2 linked regions of the Tribolium castaneum genome follow. Each later gene encodes a partner of the first gene's protein in a complex. Links are inferred from orthologs where the notes say so. Each region holds a gene or a part of one and is shown in the gene's direction. Other genes may lie near its edges.

Region 1 (3,009 bases):
AGATCGCCAATCACTACTTGCCCTACTATTTCCAAGAACCCGCTTGATTTGTTCCGTTTGTATGTCTATGTTAAGGACAGGGGTGGTTTTCTGGAGGTACTACTATTATTTTCACTTATTTAGCTAGTTAGAAATAATGTTCTTTTATTTTCGAAGGTTACGAAAAACAAAACATGGAAAGATATCGCCGGAATGTTGGGTATCGGTGCATCTTCAAGTGCAGCATACACATTGAGGAAACACTATACTAAAAATTTATTAGCTTACGAATGTCAGTTCGATCGAGGAGGAATTGATCCTCAACCTATAATAAATCAAGTTGAAGCAACTTCGAAAAAGAAATCAGCTAAAGCCGCCTCGGTGCCTTCACCAGGCTCTTCCAATTCTCAGGATTCTTTTCCGCCACCTGGTTCCGGCGGTACATCAATGGACGGATACGGTTACGGATATCCACCAGCTGGAAATCCAGAATATAATCCTCAACAGAGGCCATCTTCACAATCTAACGCGCCTTCTCCGCACGGAGGTGAGTCATGTTAGTCAATTTTTATTATGATTGGGGGGATGAAAAAGAATGACAGTCGGGCGTTTATCTTCAGCGACAAAAATTGTTATCTTTACTTTTTGTTTCGAATGCGAATGCGAATGAACAGTGTCACGAGCGGTGTTTAATTAAAGATGTTTCAACGGTATTATCAGTTATTATCTCTCGATGAAGGTATTTTTTATTTGAATTATTTATTTACTTTCGTTTTATCTATTTCTTATTCATAAATTAAACGTCGGTTTTGGCCATAAATATTTTATTGACTAAATTAATTTAAAACGATAAATAGCATGTATTATACATAACTATAGACTAAAGCGAATGATTCATTGTAATGGTTTACGCTGTGGAGCTGCTTGTTTCAGCGTGATTAATTTTTTTACTTGATTTTGGCGCTATTACGACCTTGAGATATTGTTTGATTTTTGTTTGTTTTCCCGGTTAGGAGGGTAGTATATATGTATTTTATATTCTCTTAGGTTCAGGAGGGGCTAATCATTTAAACAATGCCGCCCCTGGGGGTCCTAGCCCTGCAGGCGGGGCTGCCGACAACGTAAGCGTTTCAAACCCTTTTGATGATGTGTCTCCCAGTCCACCACCACCACGGGGTGGCCCCTTTCCAGGTGGACCGCACCCTCCTTATCCTTCAGGCACTCCACCTAGACCGCAGGGATTTAGCGGACAGGCTGGATACAATCAGTATCCAAGTCCTGGTCCTGGTGCTCCTCCAGATCAGTATTCTACGTACCCAGCTAGTTCAGGTTATCCACCAGCCGTTAGACCAGTGTATCCTCCATATTCAGGTGATTCAGGAGCACCGCCGCCGCCGAATCCGAACAATACACCACCTGGTGGTCCGCCGGCTGCCGGACAAGACCCATATTCACGTTATAATATGGTTGGTGCAGCTGCACCACCAACATCCACATACACACCGAGGCCAAACTACACAGGCGCACCGGGAAATACAGGGCCGCCAACCTCGCAACCGCCAGCCGGACCGTACACGACACAGCAAGATTATTACAGACCGGAACAGGTAAAAGAGTTGTACATATTTAAACATTTTTTGCTTTATTTTTTACTCGACTAATTACAGAATTATCCCAATCAGCAGGGTCCTTCGGCAACGGGTAATTATCCCGGAGGACCGCCGACTAACAAGAATATGCCACCGCCTGGACCGCAACCAACAAGGCGACATCCAGACTTCGTCAAAGATCAGCAGACCTATCCCTTCGGTCAGCAAAGGCCACATATTTATGGTACGTTAAAAATAATAACATTGGTAATTGTTTTGTTTTAATGGTTTGTTTTGTTTTATAGCATGGTCGAATAACAACCAGTACAGGCCGCCACAGCAGTATGGGGCATCTGGAGGTCCCCAAGTGGGTACACAGCAGTGGAATCAGGGAGGAAGACCGGCGGCTGGTGGTCAGTGGGATCGTTATCCGTCGGGTAATCAAGGTTATCAGCCTCCACAATCCGGGCAAGGGCAATGGTCTTCAATCCCAGCACCTGGTGTTGGTCAGAATCCACCGCTGAGGCCACCTCTTGGAGGTCCACGTCCTGGTAAACCGTTTACGATGATGCCACCGCAAGGAGGTAAAGGAAACCAAGCGACAACGTTGTCGAATAGTTCGTATTCGCAAAGTCAGTTACCGAAGAGAGAAATAACGTTTCCTCCTGATAGTGTTGAAGCAACATTGCCGGTATTATACAGACGTAAAAGATTATGCAGAGCTGACATTGGTCAAGTTGATCCTTGGCGTATAATAATGTGTTTGCGTTCTGGACTTTTATCAGAAAGCACGTATGCTTTGGACATTTTAAATGTTTTGTTATATGACGATTCATCCGTTGGCTACTTCGGATTGAATCAATGGCCTGGTCTTTTGGACATATTGATTGAACACTTCCAAAAGGCGTTAAGTGACATTTTTGATGGACCTTATCCACGAGAAGAGAAACCAGATGAATCTGACGTTGATTTGGGAGGTGTTGTAACACCGATTGATCCCAATAAAAAATCTGTTTTATTGCAAAATACAAACAACTATACATTTGTGACACGGAAAGGTTATCCTGTTAAAATGATCGATCGTAGCGAGGAAATCTTCATTCAGGATCATCAGAAAGACTGGGATGTGAAAGGTGATGCTACCGGTGCTAGTATTTTAGCTGAAATGACAACGGATCCTTGGCAATCAAGGACGGATCACATACTTCCAACGTTTCAAGCGGAATTTGGTCGAATACCGTTCCATCGACGTCTAGAAGATAAAAAGAAAGATCGCAACAGCAACAACAAGAACAACAGCAGGGAGTCAATAGAGGAGCGTCAACGAACACCGTCGCCGCCTGATGAGGCGCCACCGCCTCCTAAAACTAGTGACAAAAAACGTAGGACAAAGACATTAAGTGATGTGATATCTCGAATTAAAAAAGATTCTTCTTCAACT
Region 2 (4,629 bases), on another chromosome or scaffold:
AGGTCACCAAGTTGATTTTGGTGCAAATACACAATCCCGATGAATAGGCGTAAAAACGTATATTGGGTTGCATAACCATTTTTTTAAATTTATTATACAGGCTGTTAGGAAATGGCTTAGCAATATTTCGTATGTGAATTTGCCATGATTAGACGAGTTAGAAACCCTTATATCACCCTTATATAATTTTTCAAAATTGTGGCTACCATGTTCAGTTCCCACATGTGTGGAAGGTTCGAATCCCGGTCCTGGCAAAAAAATTTGTATTTTTTTTGTAAAATTTAGTAACACAACACAAATTGAAATAAACAAATAACGTAGTCGACCAATAAGTTAATTTACTTAGGCTGTTTAGTCAATAATATTAAAATTGACGCTAATTTTTATAATTCTAGCTTAGCGGTTCTCAAAATTTGTGACTTTAATTTCAGAACGATTTTTTGGAAAAACTATACATTTTTGATTGACATAAATTTTGCTAAATCGATTTGTTTTGCCATTTTCTATCTGCCTTTAAATTTTTGCTAAACCATTCCCTAACACGCTGTATTAAAATTGTTTCAATTTTTCGCTCGATAAAAAAAAACACAATTTGTTTCAAAATAGTTTATGATTTTTATTTCCATTCATAAAAAAACAGTCATAGTTGGTTGCATAACCGCAACTTATCTAAACTAATAAATACTTGTAAATGTTATTATTTTTTAAGGACAAGACAGTTTCGTAATAATCACAAAACTTATTAGAAAAATACAAAGTACAAAATATTTTATTTCAAGCTTTTGATTTCCCTACACAATTCTGCGAGCTCTTTTAACATTTCATAATTTCCATTTCTCTTTTTTTCAACATTTTCCAAATTTTCTCTCTTAAAACTGACAATAGTGTTCAAACTCTTCATAAACTGAAACAACCAATAAAACATTATCCTAAAACCCACAATAAATTACCTTAAGGAGCCGCTCGGAATTTTTACAGCACGATTCAATTACTTCCGAGGCATCTTCTGGAAAATTAATTTCATTCGGTTCCTTGTGGTTTACCAACAAACGTTGAACATTGCTCTTAAATTCGAGAAAATTGTCTTCGAGTTGTTGAGTCGAATCTTCCAGTTGCTGCTTCAAATTCGAATCAATTGAAAGGCTTTGATTTTGGTTTCGTGAGTTGAGAATTGCCTTTAGATCAGCGATTTCCTTGCGATATTCTTGAATTTTGGCGGCACGTTGACTGAGAGTTAGGGTTTGTTTTGATCCGTAAGTTGGGAACAAATTCGAATCAAAGTTCATCAAATCATCGTAGTTGTTGACATCGGAAGTTATGGTTTCGGGAACAGTTTCTAAAGCTTTAAACATTTTGCTCATGATGAAAAACTGAAAATCGAGTATATTGGATTGATAAGGGTGTACTTTAAATCAATACTTGTTTGCTGAGGTCACACTCGCCGTTCATGAATTGAAGGCTTTCCTTAGCATCATCACAAAATCCGTGACAGTAGATTATTTCTGCTAATTTTTCTTTATCTGCGTTCGCACAAATCTCAGCAAAACGAACATTGATTTGTTGCAGAATCCACGACACGAGAAACGATCTGTTGGGGGTGGAGAAAATGTCACAAATTTTGCACTCCTCCATTTCGTGTATTTGGGGATAATTGCGCTCTTTCAAGCACTCAATTATGAATGATAAATTTTCCTCCATCTCCACAATTCAAATTCCCCGCGCCGGTTGTGCAAAGCGCCACCTGTAACAACAACGCCATCTCTTTTTAGCCAATGGGAAAAGTGCGATAGAAATAAACGAAAAGAAAGAAAGCTTCTAGATCTAGAGCGTTGAGTCGATGGTAAAATGGCGTCTGTGATTTCAGCCTTTTAACTCAAAATTGTTAGCTTTTCAGTGCTTTTCCAAAGTAGGGAAAATGAGGAAAACGTAGTGCTCTGTTTGGAAAAACTCTGACTAGTGTTTGTGCAACGTAGGTAGGTCATTTATGTGGGAAAACCGACCGGATAAGAGGGATAGTCTTAGGTCATTGCATTGTAATTTCTCCGATCTGTTACTAACTGTATGAATTAGCGTTTTTTCCAAATTTTACGTAGTTTTTTAGCGTATTTTTCACTTACCTGGGTTTTCTGATGTTAATTAAGGGAAACACTACCGGTTCGATGCTCACGCGTAACCTTCAAGTGCGGGTAAAAGGCGGTTTAAATGACGTGAAGTGGGCCAATCAACGTCTGCTATTCCATAACTTTGAATTTGGGACGGTTTTTTGTTTTTTGATTTTCGAAAAAACTGACAAAAAGTTAAAAAATCAAGTAGGCGTACTTTTTGACATTTTGAGTTAAATAATAATGGTAGCACAAAAAAGGACAATAACAACAAATCACGCCACCTGATTGGCCAATTCGAAACAAATGAAGAAAACACGTTTTTATTATTTTTTTTTGTTTTTTTAGAAAAATGGCGAGTCCTTCGCCCCAGAGCAGCCCCATGCCGCCGCCGCAGGCGCCCAGCCCCATGGGCCCGCCGATTCAGAGCCCTGCGCCGCCCCCGTCGCCCCACAGCCCGTACCAAGGGCCGCCTCCGATGGGCCACGTGAACGGGCCGCCCCCACATTCCATGCCCCCGAATGCCCCCAACATGGTGCAGATGCAGCCGAACCCGGGGCATCACATGCCCCCGCAGCCGCACCCGAATATGCCCCCGCATCCGGGCATGCCGCCGCAAGGGCCCCCGAATCACCAGGGACATCCGCCCCCGCAAGGACACCATATGGGCGGGCCGCCGCCCCAGCAGGGACATCCCCAAGGGCCTCCCATGCAGATGCAGCCAGGGGGGCCGCCCCCGCAGGGGCATCCGCATGGCGGGCCGCCGCCCCCGCAAGGGCATCCCATGCAGCCGGGGGCACCGCCGCATATGGGCCCCGCGCATAATATGCAGCAAGGGCAGCCCTATCCGGGACATTCCATGCCCATGGGGGGGCATCCGCAGCAAGGACAGGTAATGAGATGAAATGACAGTTAAAATGCGGGAGGCCTTCTTTATTTTAATTTGAATATTCCATTTTTTTCAACGTTAGGATTCTATATATCAAAAATATTTGGTCTTGAGCCAAAAAGTCGCTTTTTATCTTTAAATATAGCCGTGATAGTAAGTAATAATAGCTTTATTTGCAAGTACTAACAATCTGTAAAAAGTACATATTCTTATTATGCCATATTTATGATTTTTTAATACTACATTTTAACAAAAAAGCACCAGTATAAGAAAATATCGCTCTTTTTAATGTAGGTTATAATAAAAGGTAAAGTCTTTTATGCGTAATTAATAATTATAAAAATGTTTTATCTTCGACTGTTCATAATTAGAAGCTTTATGTCACCTTGTAGCGGCCATAATGAGCCTCATTATGTACTAGTAAAATAAAATAGCAAAATTGGTCGCTGATATGAACAATCACTAATCAAATTTTAGTGCTGTCAGAGTAAACTTTGAAAATTCTATTTTTGAAATAAACTAAAATTGCATTGATAACAGGGGCTGGTTTAGTGAGGCGTCATTTTCATTTTGTTTGACTGTACTTTATTCGATTTGTTTTAACTCTTTTATTATTATTATTATTATCAGAAAGATAATAAAGTAATGTACTATTCAAAAGTGTGGATTGTCATTAAAAATATTTAAAATGGCTACATTTTCTAAAAAACACTGGCGTTATTAATGTTGTTATGGTATCAAAATGTAGAATTTATAAAAATTAAACCGTTATGTTGGTCAGTAACAAAGATATGAATTTTATGCGCTATTTTTTCCTTTTTTACATGAATCAAATCACCTAGGATTTTTTTAGAATTCTAGTTAACTCAGAGAGAGGTTTCGTTTCTAATGTAATAAAAAATTATGTTTAAAGTTATAAGATAGACAACAATGGGGCGAATTAAAAAAACAAGCTACAATATCTTGAATGGATTATTAATAATTGCATTTGATATTTTCGAGAAATGTTTCTTAGAAAATAATAACAATATAAATCAATCAAAATGTGCACCTTTTATTATTTCTCATGGCCAACAAGTCAAGCAAATGGCTATTTTAATGATAGTTATCTAATTATAATAGTGACACGTTAACTACTGGTATATTTGTTTTTATTTTGACCGTTTTTCTAATTAATAAATTATCGTCAAATTGTCATAAATTACCAACAATTTGCTTTTCAGATTGCATGAATACTTCAAAAAAATTTCACAGCGATTTCCTTGACAGTGTAATCCAAGGCCACCTTTATTTATCTATTTACAATAAAACAATTGATGCCGAACCAATTTCCTTAAGTTTATTGCATAATTATAATTACAACTAATAAAAAAAACTATTTGCATCCAACATTGGCCTTCTTAACCAGCAGTGCAGCCAATCTTTCGTCATCGGCACGTTTTTCGACTTGAAGGAACTGATCCAAAAGGGGCTTTGAGGCCGCTGCTATGAAATTCGGTTTCATGAGATCGAACTCTTTACCCCCTGAAACAGAAATTAGGGAAAAAACACAACAAAAAAATTTATTACAAGTGGAGTCGCCGACAGCCCCACCGGCCTCCGTTACTATCAAAACCCCGGCAGCGGCGTCCCATGGGT

What was found.
Region 2: osa (region 1) and brm share a complex: the UniProt entries of both Drosophila melanogaster proteins name them as parts of the brahma complex. The link is inferred for Tribolium castaneum from reciprocal best matches to the Drosophila melanogaster genes osa and brm.

The regions. Positions count from the first base shown.
Region 1 is NC_087403.1:4,031,186-4,034,194, reverse strand, and holds part of osa (trithorax group protein osa), read left to right. Parts: coding exon 1-96; intron 97-156; coding exon 157-535; intron 536-1,026; coding exon 1,027-1,586; intron 1,587-1,646; coding exon 1,647-1,812; intron 1,813-1,873; coding exon 1,874-3,009. UniProt on the Drosophila melanogaster protein: Trithorax group (trxG) protein required for embryonic segmentation, development of the notum and wing margin, and photoreceptor differentiation. Required for the activation of genes such as Antp, Ubx and Eve.
Region 2 is NC_087400.1:7,722,647-7,727,275, reverse strand, and holds the start of brm (ATP-dependent helicase brm), read left to right. Parts: upstream 1-1,730; 5' UTR 1,731-1,840; exon of another isoform or gene 1,841-1,886; 5' UTR 1,887-1,973; intron 1,974-2,450; 5' UTR 2,451-2,454; coding exon 2,455-2,994; intron 2,995-4,308; exon of another isoform or gene 4,309-4,366; coding exon of another isoform or gene 4,367-4,515; intron 4,516-4,560; coding exon of another isoform or gene 4,561-4,629. Other genes in the region: kynurenine formamidase, read left to right, coding at 1-47; uncharacterized protein LOC103314458, read right to left, coding at 770-904, 951-1,370, 1,420-1,698; uncharacterized protein LOC100141828, read right to left, coding at 4,367-4,515, 4,561-4,629. UniProt on the Drosophila melanogaster protein: Transcriptional regulator. Acts as a coactivator, assisting one or more dedicated transcriptional activators of ANTC and BXC homeotic gene clusters. Can counteract the repressive effect of Polycomb protein.